4 linked regions of the Rattus norvegicus genome follow. The protein of the gene in region 1 binds, or shares a complex with, the protein of each later gene. Links are inferred from orthologs where the notes say so. Each region holds a gene or a part of one and is shown on either strand. Other genes may lie near its edges.

Region 1 (3,876 bases):
AATGGACAGAGGGAGTCAGGAAAGGCTCTTGTGCAGAAACAGAATATGAAGGAGTTAGAACAGAGGTTCTCAACTTCCCTAATGCTGCAACCCTTTAATATAGCTCCTCGTGTTGTGGTGACCTGCTCCCATAAAATCGCTTTTCTTACTACTTCATTAACTGTAGTTTTGATACTGTTATGAATCATAATGTGTCCCAGTGGTCTTAGGTGACCCCTGTGAAATGGTCACTTGATACCACACCCCCAAAGGATCATGACCCGCAGGTTGAGAACAGCTGAGTTAAAGGATCCTATACCCTTCCTTGCATGAAGCCTGTGACCCTCTCTGTGACCCTGAGCAACTGTCACCTGATGATCCAGCATGAGCAGAAGGGTGCACTTGACATTGAGATCTCCTGGCCGTTTCACCTGAAAGCCATCTGTTTCCTGAGTGGTGGGCATCCGATGCCACTGTCAGGCAAGAGAACGCAGAGTTCATCGCTAGCAGATGGGCTACAGCACTCTGCCAGCAGCACACTGATGTCATGCGCTGTACCCCCTGACAGCTTGTCCCTCCCAGACTCTAGAACCACTCTTACCTCCACCAGATGGTTGTCAGGCCCATACAGCTCCTTGTCCAACTCGATAACAAGGCTCTTAAAGAATGAGGAGAACTTCCTCTTCTGTTTGCTAGGCTGAGAGGAAAGAGCTATGTAAGACGAGTGTGCTGCTGAATTTATTCATCAGAAGAAACGAGTCGGCATCAATGTGTGGGCAAAGTGGCAGGAAAAGGGCTCTTCATGAACCCCACTGCCAGCCAATCAGGGAGTGAATCCAAGACCCTTGACTGCCATCTACAGGAAAGTTGTAGTGCAGTAACTACAGATGTTCACTCTGGACCAGTATATTATGTGTGAGGTCCAGGCTTTGATCCCCAGCACAGAAACAACAACCCCACCAGCAAGTCTAACCTCTAACTGGGTAGATCTACCCTTTCCCTAGGCTCGGACTTCATAAAGACGCTCATGTCTGTCCATGGTCTAAGTTCACACACGCCTTCTCCCTCCCAATACCTCTTTTCCCAACTCACATCATCCAGAAGTTTTCCCTCTACTCGAAGCTCCCAGGAGGCCACCTTGTCTGCTGCTGGGGTTCCCCCAGGGGTCCCTGCAGTTCCTGAATTATCACCATCTGCCTTGCTGGGACTGAATGTATTGGAAATATAGATCCGAAGTTTTCGCTTTTGCTAAAGAGGAAGAAGAGGCAGGACTGAGTGAGTAGCCATTTGTAGCAAGACACCACCTCAACGCATGCGAAACTGAGTGCGCTCTAGTGGATGGATGGCTCCCTGTGTGAGAAGTACTGCTCAAGCCCAAGCTCTTCCCTGGAAAACAAGGCCAGGGAGGAAAAATAGTTTGGGAGAACTTGGGGTAGTATATACCGTCAGAGGCTTCTTGATGGCCTCTTGGATCTCCATCCGCTTGCGAGCGATGGTCTGGTCCAGCTTCCTCTCGAAAGCTAAAAGATCCATGTATGCCTGAGACTCTGGGACAAGCTCCCGGATCTGCAGGTTGAGAAATCCAATGGCTTGCTTCACCAGCTCTACTTCTAACACTCTCCCTCCTTGCTCACTCCAGGACCCCCACCCTGGCCAGCCAGACCTGGGCAGGCCTCCGTAACACACTTACTCGCTGAGGTAGAACCTTATCTGCCATCTTCCTCCTCTTTAACCTAGTAGGAAAACAGAAACCCATTTAAGAATTTAACAGTCCAAACTCACTATCTTCAAAACCCTCTCCCAAATTGCCAAGAGTCTCCTTGTGGTCAAGGTTACCACCAGAGACGAGACAGGCAAGGTCTTACCCTCGGCGCTGGGCAGGCATCGGGGGCTGGGCCTGAGGCACAAGCAGGCGTTTTCGGAATGGATCCATCATGGTAGGTGGCATGCCAGGTCGAAGTGGAGCAGCTGTGCCAAATGGGGAACCAGCCGGAGGTCCCACCTGCAAGCCAGCCATGGGCATCCTACTTCCTGGGGACATGCCAGGTCGCTGGGGAAAGTGGAACAGTGGAGGGGCACAGGTCAGTGGGAGAGCCCTACGAGGTCCATAGCCCATACCCTCCATCTCCCTCTCACACGGGGAGACCAGGAACAAAGGGGAACAGGCGCCTGAGCCCAGCGTGTAAACCACACCTGCCCCGCCCCTGCAACCGCCCTGGCAGCCGTGCCAACAAATGAGGCAGCCGGAGTCCATGGGCGGGAGGAGAGTGCCTCTTGCAGAAGGCAGGACCTGGGGAATTTTTTAGGACTTATCAACACCTTTCCAGCTCCAATATGCTATGTCCTGCACCCTGGGATCGGCCAGCTTCAAGGTATTTATAGAGTCCCTAGATAGCCCCTAGACACCCCTTCTTCCTTTCCCCATCCTGAAGGAAAAACATTACTCGGGAGACCAGAGGCAATGCATAGCAACAGCAACCAGGGGAGTCCGGGAGGATGTAAACAGCCTGTGCCTGGTGGCATGACGGGAAGAAAGGCAGTAGGGATGGCAAACCATTAGGCAGCAGCACCTCAGGTGAGCAGTATAATGTATGGCTTTGCTATGTCACAACTTGTGGGGATGGCCTCAGGAGAGTATAGACACCATCTGGTCACCATATGGCCCCTACAAAACCTGAACCCGTTGTTGCCCCCCCCCCCCCATTGCCATGCCCCTATCTCTATGTCAAAAGACCCTCAAAAAGGGAAATTATGGTTCTTGGGTGGCCTATGGGAATGAGAACAGCAAACATCTGGCCTCTGCCCATGGTCTCGGCACCACCTGGCAGCCAGGCTGCTGCTGGTCCGACTTAACCCTAGCCAGCCCAAACTGCAGACTAAGACTGTCTGGGATGGAAGGACACAGAGTCACAGCAACAATCTGGGTGACACGAGTAGCTTCTTGACTTCCCATCCAAGGCCCAGTTTTCCAACCTTTCTGGGAGCCCTCCACCTCCCAGCTCCATGCACATAGCTGCTGCCTGAAAGGCCTGTTTGGCAGCTCTGCCTTGCACACACTGTCCCTGGCAGCTTCACAGGCCTGGCCCCCGGGGCCCAGGTTATGCAATCAATCAGTACAACCAGACAACCAGGCCAGCCTGGGTGGAGATTCATACCAAGTTAAAGGCCCACCCCCTAACCCCCACACCCAAGCATCCTGAAGATGAGTCTCTGCGACTTCTTTATCTGGCACTAAGGAGTCAGACTCATGACCAGTAGCAGAGGGAGGGGAAGAAACACGACCCAGAGACAAGGGAAAGGGGATAGGAGCAGAGCAAGGATACAGTGGCAATTGAGGAGTTAAAAGTGGGAGACCCTGGGACCTTGGGAGTCCTGCCACAAGTCTCTCCTCATCAGGAAGAAATTCATCAAAGCTGTTGAAAGGCAGAAGACAGCCTGTTTCTCTGCTCTAATAAGCCAGAGCCAGAGATTATAGAAGGGGGGAGGGGACAAAAGAAAAGCCTCAGGTGGCCGAAGCTCTAAGACCCCATCATCACCCAGACTTGAGGGTTCCCTAGAGTTACTGCAGATATATCTGAGGCGCTCTGGTCCCCCAAAAGCTCTCCACCAAGGTTCATAAAGCCTATAGCACTGCTGAGCCCTCCAGGAAATCCCCCCGCAAGGCAGCCCAGGCAGGCCTGGAATAGGCCCCACCCAGACATCTGTTCCCCACTTCTGGGGCTTGGGCTTCAGTCCCCTGGCTCACCCGCAGCCTCAGGGGAAGGCTGCTCACAATTCAAGTCCTAGTTTCTTCTTGTCGAGCTCTACACCTGGGCTTTGAAGAGCTGAGTAACTCCGACTTAAAAACAAAACAAAGTCACTGAAACAGAGTCTCAGCCTCTCGGCCAGCCTGCCCCA
Region 2 (4,193 bases), on another chromosome or scaffold:
ATGAATTCAAGTAAGTTAGTGTGACCCTATCTTGAAACCAAACAGTAATAATTTAAATATATTTTAAAACAAAACAAATGGCTACATAGTGTGGGATGTGAATGGGTGGCTACCAGGATGGCTTAGCTAGTGGAGTTCTAGGACAGCTCTCCTCTAACCAGCCCATCCCCTAACTGCTGCTGCCGCCCAAGGAGAGGGCCATGTTTCTCAGTCCCTCATTCAGGCTCTGCTGCCAGGCCTGACTGAGGACATCCATACCTCTGCCCAGCACGCGATCCTGGCAGTGCTTGGCCCGAGCAGTGTCACCTCCTTTCCTTTTCTCTCTGCTCTTCCTGCCTCAGCCAGCCCTCACCAGATGGCTTCCCCTTAGGCTCCGTGCCCACTCCCAGCCACCTTTCCTCTGGCACACGTAGAGTCAAACCATATTCACGACCACAAGTAACATGCCTGTTTTCTCCTGTGCCAGGCAGGAAGTTGTTCTCTGCTCCCTGGCTTGAGCACAGGGTTGGCTCAGGAGGAATTATTAGGCAATTCTAAGAGCAACAGCTCCTGCTGCCTTAATCGGCTCCTCCTCATCAGATCCAATCTGCTTCCCTGCATTTGTTAAGGCCCTGCTTTTTTTGAATAATTTATTTTATTTTTTAATGTTCATTAGTGTTTGACTGCACATATGTCTGTTGGATCCCCTGGAATTGGAGATACAGACAGATGTGATCTGCCCTGCATGTGCTGGGAATTGAACCTGGTTCTCTGGAAGAGCAGCCAGTGCTCTTAACTACTGAGCCATCTCTTCGGCCCCATTGCAGCCCTTCTTTTAAAAATGAATTTAATTGAGAAAGATTATCTGCTCTATTATTCTATGAGTGCTTTGCTCCATATATATGCATGTATACAATGTGCACATATTTGGAGTGCACATGGGAGGCCAGAAGAGGGTGCCAGATACCCTAAAACGAGACTGGTAGGCTGGGTACGGAAGGAGATGGGACAGAGACATGCAGAGATTGGCAGCCTGGCTCAAAGAAGTTTAGTGTGCTTCCAACATGGTAGAGCCTTACAACTAAGACCAGGCTGGGACTCCTCCTACCAGGGAGGAGCTGTAAGCATGGGAGGGACAATTATTTGCCTGTGACGAGTGGTTCTACGTTGTCTGTGGGGTGAAGTGATGCAGAGCTGAGAGTGCAGGGAGAATCAGGAGTGCTGGCTGTTCCCCTCTGATTCTCCTATGTCCTGTCTGTCACTGCTAGGTCTCATGCAGTGTGTGAAGCATCCCAGCTGCCCAAATGGTCCAACACACAGGACAGGTACTAAGAGCTCACCAGGCCCGACTGGCTGGGAAGATAAAATAGCCCTTTCTGATTCTGAAACCAAGTACTTGAGACATTCCAGGAATCTAGGCAAGTCACAATGGAAAGGACATTTATTTGCTCAGATTTCAACCAGAGTAGGCCTACACCCAAGGATTTGAAATCTGAACCCAGAACTAAGGATCGATCACAGCAGAGCCAGGGCCTTCCTGTCCACATTTGGGACTCAGGCAATAGAGTCCCTGAGTCCTAATGTGACACTACTGGGTGCCTTCCAGAGGGCATGTTCTAGAGCATGGAAAAACTGCAGGTGACCAGGAGACCGGAAGCCACCTGGGCCATGACAGCATAAATGCTGCTAAGGGTTGGCAATAGAAGAAAAGGACGCCAGCAGGACCCATCATGAGCCTCGAGAAGCTTCGAGCCCTGACCATAGCACTTAAAGCTGCCGCATAGCAGGGTGAAGGCAGACACTTGGTACCTTGCTGCTAGGAGCATATGCACAATCTCAAAGTGGGTTCCCACTCAACTCCTGGCTGTGGATGCATCCTCTGTATCAGTGACACTCCCAGGACCTAAACAATGTTACCTCGGCTTGACTCCGGGGAGGAAAGCCCTTTTACATTGGCTGAGGCTTGCTGGCCTTGGCTCCATACAAGGACAGACATCAAGGCTAGAAAACAGAACTGCTTGGCCGAGGGGCTGCTAGAGGAGTCTGAGCAAGCAACTCACCCGGGCCTGCTTAGCTTCTCAAGCGCTTGGGTGGAGGGGCTCGTACCCTTTAGGACACACCTCATTTCTTGTTACCCCCCCACTCCAAAACATTCTTACTATTTTATGTGTTTGGGTGACTGCCTGCTACATGGCTACATACCCCTTACATTCCTGGTGCCCACAGAGAGCACTGGATCCCCGAGACTGCCTCTCTCCAGACCCCCTTTTCTCTTGCTCCTATTACAGAAATCCCTAAGAAAGCTGATTCTTGGGATGTCTGGTAATCTGATCTGAGTTCACACCTACTAACAAACTTCCTGAACTACTGCGTCTGCAGAAAGCCCTCTGCTTTCGCTTTTCCTAAGCATTCCAGTTCTCAATGAGGTCCTTTCCCAGTGGGGGCAAGGAGTGACAAGAATGCAAGACCAGGGGAAAGGTGAGTGTGCTAGTTGTCCTACCTGAAGGCATAGGTCTTCTGGTGCCAGCTCAGCTGTCCTCGGATGCTGTACGCAATGGTGGTGACAAACTCCCCGCCCAAGCCCAGCTCTGAGCACAGCTTCAGGGCAAACTTCTCTGGGGAGTTCTCTTTCTCTGACATGTCCCATTCAAACTGGTCCACCAGGGAGATGTTCCCCACATGGATGTTCAGCTGCGGCAGGAACCAAGAAGCACAAGTGAAAGCCGGAAAGTTAGTCACCCAGGAAAGCCGGGAGGAGGTGGGGACAAGCCATTCTGAACAGCCAGGTCTGAAGCATTTATGCCCGTCACTCAGAAGCTGAGGACCAAGGCTAGCCCTTGTCTGTCTAGCTCCTTATAGAACAGAACCAACTTCCCAGGTTGCCACTAGACACTGAGGTTCTGGGCACCTGATCCCTTCTTAACCTGTCTTCTCATCCCCTTGTGTCCCACACTGACCAGTGTCTTCCTTGTCCTTCCCACCTCGGGCAATCAACCTTTATGTAGCTATGCTGGCCATGCAGAGCTCTGCTTACAGAGATTGTCCTGGAGCCTACTTTAAGCCATTATCCATACCCTAATGTCCCCACTTTACAAGCATCCTACCAAGCAGCTCACGAGTACACTGACCCTATGTTCCTTCACCCCTTAGAAAGATAAGCTAGCCCCAAACTTCATGGAAGGAAAACAGTAACTCCACAAACATGCGCTCTGCCCTCCACATGCTCATGGTGACACACGCCGATAATAAAGAAAAAAAATCAATACAGTAAGACACATGTATAAGAGCACACACACTGATACGGAAGCTAAAAAAGATTCAACATGATCTGATACTCAACACCCATTAGGATGGCTACATTCAAACAAGAAAGGGAGAAAGAAACGGGGAGTGAAGGAAGAGGGAAGGAGGAAACGAGGGAGGGAGGCAGGCTGGTTATGATAACTTTTACTGACCGACCCCGGGGAGAAACTGGCACTGTAGTGCATGGTGAGTGGGGGCATAAGACGGTGTAACTCCTGTACAAGTCTGGTAGGTCCTCAGCATAATAAAGGGTAGCCAAGTGACCTAGAACTTTCTTTCCTAAGATTTATTTATTTTTATTTAATGTGTATTGGTGTTTTGCTTATATGTATGTCTGTGTGAGGTTGTGAGATCCTGGAGTTACAGACAGTTGTGAACTGCCATGTGGATGCTGGGTATTAAACCCAGGTCCTTCGGAAGAGCAACCAGTGCTCTCAACCACCGTGACCTACCAGTGCTCTCAACTACCGTGACCTACCAATTTTAACTTGCTTAATTTTAACTAACTTAACTTTAATTTGGAGTATAAATCCAAAGAACTGAAAGCAGGAATACAAACAGGTATTTGAATCATGAAGTATTTCTAGCCCAGCCCATAGGAACATCACACTGACGCTGCACACATCACTGTGGGGTCTCCTAACTCTGGGGCTGGCTCAGCCCCTGATGGATACAGCAGCACTGGCTGTCCTACCCACAATGTGACACTTTGAAAAGTCAGCCCACCCATTGCTGAGCACTTAGTCAGGTTGTCCCTGAAAGATGTCATCCCAGAAACTATCCCACAGCAAGGAACTCTGACAGGCTTCCATCAAGGGCTGAGTGTACTCGTAGCACCTACCTTGATGATGACACGCTGGTCAGATTGGTCCTCCAGGATGCTGTCTGTGGGGTAGGACTCGATCTGCTGT
Region 3 (4,193 bases), on another chromosome or scaffold:
TATAACTTTTGTTAGATCTGTGTCCCCCCACCTTCATTTCCTGGTACTAAGATCACAGGTATTCATTACCATGTCTGATTCTGACTTTCTTTTAGACTAAATCAGCTTATTGGCTTATATAATCCTCCTGTTTAAAAATAATATAACTTAAAAAAAATAAAAGTTTGGGGCGCTGGGGAGATGACTCAGTGGTTAAGAGCACTGGCTGCTCTTCCAGAGGTCCAAAGTTCAATTCCCAGCAGCCACATGGTGGCTCACAACCATCTGTAATGGGTTCCGATGCCCTCTTCTGGTGTGTTGTGTATTCATATACACAAAAGAAGTAAAAAAAAAAAAAAGCGGGAGCTAGAGAGAGAGCTCAGTGGTTAAGAGTACTAGCTACTCTTTCAAAGGACCTGAATTTGATTTCCAGCACCTACACGGCAACTAATAACTGCCTACAGCTTGAGGTATAGGGTGTCTGACACCCTTTCTTGGTCTCCGAGGACACAGTGCCTTTAACATACAGGCAAAAAAAAAAATTCATACTCATAAAAAATAAATTTTTTTAAAAAAGTCACCTAAGCTGGGCATTAGGGACACACAACTTTAATTCTAGTACTGAGAATCTAAGACAGGAGGATTGTGCACTCAAGCAAGCACATTAAACTACTAAGCTAACTCACTAGCTCCTCTTTCCCCACATCACAAACTCTTCATCTTAGAACGTCCTACTGGGTGCTAGTACTTTATTACAGTTTATTCATTTGTTTCTATTCCACGCTGGAATCTATGCGTCATGTGAAACTGGAGAGAGCCTCAAATATAACCATATTTCAGTAACTTGAACAGTGCTCACAACTTGCTGCCAGCCCTGACTTGAGTTTAGTCTGCATGGGAAAAGAAGACTGGACTCCCTCAAGTTGTCTGCTCACCTCTGCACTCTGGCCACAACATATAGACACAGTGCTCACCTCCTCTTTAAAACATCTATTTATTCAATGTATGAGTGCTCTATCTGCATGTACACCTGCAGGCCAGAAGAGGGCGTCAGATCTCATTACAGATGGTTGTGAGCCACCAAGTGGGTGCTGGGAATTGAACTCAGAACTTTTGGAGGAACAGCCAATGCTCTTAACTGCTGAGCCATCTCTCCAGGCCCTCACCACATATATAACACAATTCACTGATACTTTAACTTCAAAATATTAAATCACACCATTACTGTTAGACTTGTGGCTATAGACAGACTTCTACAAACCTATCAAACCAGAGGGGGAAAAGGCCATGTAGCTGCTCAACTGCTGCAAAGAGGGAAGGGTGGGCAAACCACGGGCAAGCGGGCAGAAGCGTGAAGCCTGGGCTACTTACAGGATCTACGGTAGGAAGACTGGACAGTCTTCTCCTTTTCCTGCTTGGGCCCGGTGTAGGCACAGAATGGTGCCCGTCATCAAAGTCTCCACTGACACTGCTGGACGGGGAGGTGGCTCTTCTTCTCTTGGACCCCATGGACTCCAACTTCTTCTATAAGAAATAATTAGCCAAGTTCTTATATTTAATCGTCAACAATGTCAACTAACTCTCAGCTGGACACACATCACCAAACTGCTCGTCCATTTAAGACAGCTGATAGTTCTTTCCAGAGGAACTGAACTAGCTCTAAGTTCTTTTGTTAATTTAAGTCCTAGACTTCAATGATTTTTAGCCTTGTACTTATCAGAATGCTGTACTGTCAACCTCTAATGGGGCAAATTTGGCAGAAGTACACACATTTATATGTCAATCATTCTAAATTAGCCTACCATGTCTACTCCAGATTTATCCTGAAATGTGGTTTCCTATACGTGCTAGACATTTAAGAAAGTTACTTTTGCTGTGTACAGCGTCTTGCCTGCCTAAGCATCTATGCATCACATGTGCGCCTGAGGCTGGAGACCATGTCTCCTTTTAGCACCTTCCCCCTATTTTGGACAAAGGGTTGTTTATTAACCCTGGAGAATATCTAGTCAGTCAGTGCCTGAGACCCACCTGTCTCTGCCCCTCCACTGAGAGGGCTACAGACACTCCTACCCACACATGGCTTCTAAGTGGGTGCTGGGGATCCGAAGTCAGATCCTCACCTTTGCACGAGCTCTTTACCCACTGAGATGCCTTCCTCATCTCTAAGACACTATTCTTTGATAGACACTTTAACCCCATCACTTGACAAGAAAGCCAGGGGAGCTCTCTGTGCATTCAAGGCCAGCATGGTCTACATATTGAGCTCTATGTCGGCCCGGGCTACATAGTGTCTCAAATAAAAAAAGGAAAAGAAACCATTTTTAACATAACTTTACAATATACACATTTGGCTATAATGTAAGAAATGCAACCACAGAGATAAATTACTATAGGTAAAGGGCATAGACCCCAGGACGTCCTACAGTGCTTACATAATTTAACAGTCCTATCAAATAGTGAGTGCATTATAATCTCAAAGGGCTTTCCTAAAGGTAAAAGTAAAAAAGACTTAAGTCTCGCTCAACTAAATAAACAACAGTAGACCAGTGGCTGCCTGTACTACAGAAAGAAAAATTGGGGATCTCCAGGAAATAGAAAGCAAGAACAAAAACAAGCAAAAAAAAATCTGTTGAGCAAGTAAGAAACAAGAGGGGCCCACTACCTCTTGCTTTGAACTAAAGTCCACACTCTGTTTAAAACAGAACCCACAGCGATCATGTCCCTTCTTACAGGCTTTGGTTTAATTACCAAGAATATTAGTCTGAAATTGACTAAAAGTAGTTAAAAGTTTCTACATCCTTAGGTTAAGAACACCCAGGTTCTGTTGTTGTTTATAAAAGACTGCTAACTGGCCATAATTCCACAATTTAATGAAATTAAGGATTAATCCTTGGAAACGCTCTGATAAACACAGGAGGGACTCGTATGGGAAGAATTATTACAAACTTCCGAACGTTGAGGGAAAGGTAAAGAGCGACAGAGACAGGAAAGGGTGAAGATGATCAGTAATTTACCAGCTTTACCAGAGCACAACCAGCGCCTCGAAAAGCCAATCTCCTCATTATGTCTGCAGGCCAACTGAAGCCAGTGAGAGAAGGGAGGGCTTTATAAGGGCTTATTCAGTTAGTCTATTCAGAACTGAAAGAGAAGAACAAGGCAGAGAAAGGGGAAATAGGGATAAAAATGAGTCACGAACAGACAGAAAACATACATTCAAGTAGAACTGCTAAAGAGAGAGACACAGGCACATCAGTCAGTTCTCAGGTGCACCTGACATTTCTTTCATTTAAAACCCCAATGCTTCCACATGCTTAGAAATGTCTCACTGCGTTTCACCCTTACTCACATGAAATGACTGTCAATTCCAGGAATGGAGCATGCCTGCCCAAGTGCCCCCTAGTCAATAAGAGCAGAGTTCAATCACAGAGCTGGGATGGAGAGTGAACACATGTGGGAGGCTCACATGTGACACCAAGTGTTGGCAAGCTGGAACAAACCAAGAATGGCTCATGAGAGCAGACTCTACAAAACTCTTCCTCCCCTCCACCCAAGAATCAGAGAAAAACATTTCTTTCTCAAAGTTCTATCTGCACTGAAAAGACACGGCATTTAAGTTTAGCAGAGCTTTAAAAGTCTTCAATTATTTTGGCAATTTAAAATGACCTTTTATAATGCACTAGAAAGCAAATGACAAAAAATGTAAATTATTAGTATTGCGTATATTGCAGTTTTAGATGATGCGACAGCCCAGATCCTTTAATCATTAACACACTTTCAAAAGACAAAAGATACAAGAGACGGGTTTTTTCATTTTTCTTATCCAAAGTATACATTTTAACATGTAATGTGAAAGAAACAAAGGACCCACACTCAGGAGTCAGACCTTCTGCCTCTAATTATCTGTAGGATGCTGGACAAATCGCAACTCAGATCTGTTTCTTCATCTTTAAATGGGAACAAGGGCTGAGCAGACAGCTAAGTTGGAAGAGTGGTTGCCTAGCGGATTGGAAGGCCCCAGGTTCAATCCCAGCACCGCATGGAACTGGGCATGGTGGTGCACACATGCAATGTTACCATTAAGAAAGTGGAGACAGAAGTACTAGTTCAATGTCATCTCAAAACACACAAACAAACAAACAAACAAAAACCCCAAATGAAAACAGCAAAGTGTACTCATAGCCTTTTGGCACTGAAGAAATAATGCACATGAAATT
Region 4 (4,193 bases), on another chromosome or scaffold:
TTTTATTTCTAGAAACGATACCCTTCACTTTACTGACCTATAATTTTGCTTCCTTTATTGTCTGCTCAAAGAGCAATTATAGCTAACAATTGTAGATACCATTGATAATACTTTGATATGACATTCTTAAATTCCCTCCCTAGTATTACAAACCTTTGAGGAAGTCTGACACTGAAACATAAATTGAGCCTGGTAGATTTATAAACCCCATCTCTCAGGAACTTGGGCATCAGGGTTTGGAGTTTGAGGCCAGCTGAAGTTATATAGTAGAATATCGTCTCAGAAATCAAAACAAAACAAAACCAAACCAGAAAGGGACCAACAGGTAAAGAAGTAAAAAAAACAAAAACAGTGCTCTCTACCACATTAAAAATGTGTCCTGTTAGAACAAGTGAGAGACACAAAACATGGGAAAGGCACAAAAGAAGTAAACTACTGTTGTAGAAAACAATGTGACAAGTTACTGAAAGCTGGGCACGGTAGCACACGCTTCCCAGCAGGAAGAAGGAGGGCGATTACCTACAGGTTTAAAGCCAGCTGGTCTACAGTGAGCTCTGGGCCAGTCAGGGCTACATAGTGAGACCCTGTCTCAAAAAATAAAACAAAACAAACAAAATACAAGCTATCAGATCACAGGATTAAGAGATATAGAACGAACATACAACATGTTTTACATGATGCTGAAAAAAAACCAAACCAATATTTATTTTTAAGTTTCTAATCTTTAGGTCATTTTTACTTATAAATATGTTAATGTGGGCTTTTTGTTTTGCTTCTACCAGACTTCAATTCATGGAAATGCAGAGGGTAGGCCATCTGGAAATAATACTCTATAAGGTGCATTTGGAACTTGCAAATATTACAGATTTTAGAAGAGGAGCTATAAGTAAAGAACTTTCCCTTGAAGCAGGTACACGTTTAAAAACTTTCCAGTTAAATATCATGTAAAAATAATCAAAGAAAAAAATTAAAAAATGGTATTAAAAGCACTCTATCTTGGACCCTGTGGAGTATTAAAAACACTATCTTGTACCCTGAAGACTACCATTCAACCAGTGAACAAAGTGGCGTTAAACCAAAGTCCTAAATGCAGCCAGAACTGCAATGGGTGATAAAGGACCTGGGCAGGAGGGAGGGCTTCCCTAGAAGCAAGCGGACTTTTTTTTTTTTTTTTTGGTTCTTTTTTTCGGAGCTGGGGACCGAACCCAGGGCCTTGCGCTTCCTAGGTAAGCGCTCTACCACTGAGCTAAATCCCCAGCCCCGCAAGCGGACTCTTAACACCTTAGTCCAACAACTCCAGAGTGACTTCAGACCTGGCTTTTGTTCGTACGTCTGTCCCAGGCATCTATAGCCCCTGAAGTGCTTGGTCCTCTCTGTGAGCTCAAGCAGAACTGAGCCATTACAACTGCTCGTCTGTGGCAGGTGCCCGGTTACCCACCACGCAAAGTTGTCCTTGCAGGATTGTTTTTGGTTTTCCCATTTTCACAGACCTCCTGCTTACGTCACCTGCTTCCTGGTAACCAGCATCCAGTGTGGAGACATAGGATGCAGTTTGGAGCTGGGGGCCACTGAGAATTGAAGCAGGGCTTTATACAGGAAAGGCAAGCCACTCAACAACTCTTATACTCTCAGCTCAGAATATAATTTGTTTTTTTTTAAATGAGCTGTGTTCTCAAAGAAAATTAGTGTCTGGTTAGTACCTAATTTTTCAGATTAGCAACAAAATCTATGATTTTAATGGTCCGAGGCACCTGTGTATAACTTTTGTATTTGTGCCCTAAAAATCTACACGATAGTTCAAATAAGTACAATGTAATATAAAAGTCAGTTATAAATTGAGAGCTGGCTTCCTTCAGAGTGAACCAGGCTTCAGTCTTGGCACCACCTCATGGGCGATGGCCCTAGATGTGTTATTTACTTAGTCAGCATGAGTCCTCCCCTCCAGCACAGGCTAAGAGTCTCATGCTAACAGGATGGATTGGTGAGAGTCACTGGGAAAAGGCGTGCGTTAGTCTACAGTGCGTTAGCCAGCTGCCGTTCACTGCTCTCTGGGCTAGCGACTGCACTATCCTATGGGCGCCAACCAAATGGAAGATCAAGTGCACACAAGATGAGGGGAAATGAAATAACTCTGTAAGAGTAGAGTTCTTCTTGAATGGAGTTTGGTTCACTATCATTTTATTTAGATTTCTAACAGACTCCGAGAGGAAAATCGATCAGACATACATAATCCGATGAATTGCTAAGTTCACATGCAAGAAACGTTTAAAAATTCACTGAATGTCTACTTTGTGTCCGTCACTATAACATTTAAGTGAAACCGTGGAAGTGTGGAGATCAACAGTCACTGGGCATTACCGCCCGGAACAACATCCACCACAGGTCAAACTGCGCACAAAACTCAAAGAGCCCTTACCTTGAAGCTGGAGCTGAGAAATGTCTCATACACAAGAAGCAGGGAAGTCTTTAGCACACATGCCCGACAGACACCACGACTGCTCACGTTCAGACATAAGCGATTGGCTTAGCCTCCACGGCTGGAGGCGCCGCGGCGACTTACCTGTGGGAGCGCGCTCTGCGCGTAGGCTGGCGGCGGCGGCGGCTTCTGCTGAGCTGCGCTTCCTATTGCTACTTTAGCTACAGTGCTCGGGTCGGCGCCTGCTGGGACAGCCACCATGGTGGCACTGCAGCCAGCATTGTTGGGGTCGCTGATTGTGACAATTCTGACCCCTACTTTATTTGGAATTCCCGGGGCTGCTTCCCTATCGCCATCCTCTGCTGGCCTCTTCACAGTTTTGCACTCGGCTGTGCCGTTTGTAGACCGAGCGTCAGATGACAGAGCGGAGGCGGGCCCTCTAGATCCTGAGTGGGGAGCTGCTATGACCGGGTGCCCCTGTATGACAGGGGCTGTAGGACGCGGTGAGACAACCACACTTGGGCGCTGATGAGGCACATCTGAAGTCAAACCTGAAGCTAGAGGTCCGTTAGGCAAGTCAGTACCACTGAATGGCTGTGTCGCCACACTCGAAGCTTCTTGCACACTGCTGGTGGCCGGTGACCCACCCAGAGTTAACGCGGGTCCATTGGGAACTCTTTCTAGCTGGTCGCCTTTGGCAGTCTCTTGCTGGGTGGCACCCAAAGTCCCCTGTGGCTCCACTGGAGATACCTCACCGTTTCCTACATGATTACAAGTTTTGTGATTTGGAATGTTTTTGCTTAAATGAGAACCATCTCCTTTATCAAAATCACAGATTCCATTAACAAGGGTTTTTTTCAGATCACTTTTGACATCCTGCATGTCCACTGGTTCTGAGTTCTGTTTTCCAGATGCTCCATTCTCACCTAATTCCAACGATGGCCCATTGCTGAGTGGTGAGCACGGGTTGGGCTCACTCTGAAGTTTCCCTGAGTGTGAAGGAGGTAGACTTGAGTCACTGTACTTTCTCCCGTTTAACAGGCTCCCCACCTGGGTCTCACTCTCACTCGTGTCCCCATTGCTGGTGTTCGTGGTTCCTCGTCGGCAGGAAGGATTCTCCATGACCTCGATTTTCCGCTCATGAACATGTAGACCTGTTGCTTCCTTTGCCTCCTCCTCCTTTTGGCAAATGATCTTATCGCCTTTGAATGGGGGGGCAGCGCTGGTACACGCTGACTGTCCGGCTGGAAGCGTCTGCACCTGAAGTCCAGCTCCGGCCTGCGCCCCACTCATGCTAATACCGGCTGGAGCGATGAGCTGAGCTGCGTTTCCCTGACTCACAGTCGCAGTTGCAAAACTGGTATTTGGCACAACTGTTATAGTTACCTGGTTGCCGGAAGTCCCTTGGAAAATGGTTGCTGGGCTGTTTGAGATCAGTGGACCCGGCAGTATTTGTAAGTTGGAAATGGGCACAGTTTGCACTCCCCCCGTGGGTGGCATTGCACTTTGGACCAACTGAACATTTGGCTGTCCAACCAGCAGCTGCTGAGCAGGGGTCTGCCCCTGCGCGCCAAAGCCAGCTGCTTGGCTATTGGCCACCTGATAGACCACCTGGGGGCTGGGGGCTCTGGCATTGTTAGGGGGAGGAATCTGTGGGGCTGGGAGGATAAGCTTACCCCCTGGGGTGGAAGGGCCCCGCTTTGGGAGCAGCAGCTGTTTTATCAGACTAGACTCGCTGGAAGCGGGCTGACCAACTCCTGCACCCGCCTGCTGGGGC

The links.
Region 2: Smarcd2 (region 1) and Smarcb1 share a complex: the UniProt entries of both Homo sapiens proteins name them as parts of the BAF complex. The link is inferred for Rattus norvegicus from reciprocal best matches to the Homo sapiens genes SMARCD2 and SMARCB1.
Region 3: Smarcd2 (region 1) and Pbrm1 share a complex: the UniProt entries of both Homo sapiens proteins name them as parts of the SWI/SNF-B (PBAF) chromatin remodeling complex. The link is inferred for Rattus norvegicus from reciprocal best matches to the Homo sapiens genes SMARCD2 and PBRM1.
Region 4: Smarcd2 (region 1) and Arid2 share a complex: the UniProt entries of both Homo sapiens proteins name them as parts of the SWI/SNF-B (PBAF) chromatin remodeling complex. The link is inferred for Rattus norvegicus from reciprocal best matches to the Homo sapiens genes SMARCD2 and ARID2.

Annotation. Positions count from the first base shown.
Region 1 is NC_086028.1:91,695,767-91,699,642, forward strand, and holds part of Smarcd2 (SWI/SNF-related matrix-associated actin-dependent regulator of chromatin subfamily D member 2), read right to left. Parts: intron 2,030-3,876; coding exon 1,845-2,029; intron 1,713-1,844; coding exon 1,670-1,712; intron 1,546-1,669; coding exon 1,423-1,545; intron 1,228-1,422; coding exon 1,072-1,227; intron 677-1,071; coding exon 581-676; intron 453-580; coding exon 351-452; intron 1-350. UniProt on the Homo sapiens protein: Involved in transcriptional activation and repression of select genes by chromatin remodeling (alteration of DNA-nucleosome topology).
Region 2 is NC_086038.1:12,754,282-12,758,474, reverse strand, and holds part of Smarcb1 (SWI/SNF-related matrix-associated actin-dependent regulator of chromatin subfamily B member 1), read right to left. Parts: coding exon 4,124-4,193; intron 2,671-4,123; coding exon 2,480-2,670; intron 1-2,479.
Region 3 is NC_086034.1:6,222,811-6,227,003, reverse strand, and holds part of Pbrm1 (polybromo 1), read right to left. Parts: intron 3,466-4,193; 5' UTR 3,326-3,465; intron 3,118-3,325; exon of another isoform or gene 3,042-3,117; coding exon of another isoform or gene 2,994-3,041; intron 1,504-2,993; coding exon of another isoform or gene 1,489-1,503; coding exon 1,351-1,488; intron 1-1,350. UniProt on the Homo sapiens protein: Involved in transcriptional activation and repression of select genes by chromatin remodeling (alteration of DNA-nucleosome topology). Required for the stability of the SWI/SNF chromatin remodeling complex SWI/SNF-B (PBAF).
Region 4 is NC_086025.1:129,409,581-129,413,773, reverse strand, and holds part of Arid2 (AT-rich interactive domain-containing protein 2), read right to left. Parts: coding exon 2,561-4,193; intron 1-2,560. UniProt on the Homo sapiens protein: Involved in transcriptional activation and repression of select genes by chromatin remodeling (alteration of DNA-nucleosome topology). Required for the stability of the SWI/SNF chromatin remodeling complex SWI/SNF-B (PBAF).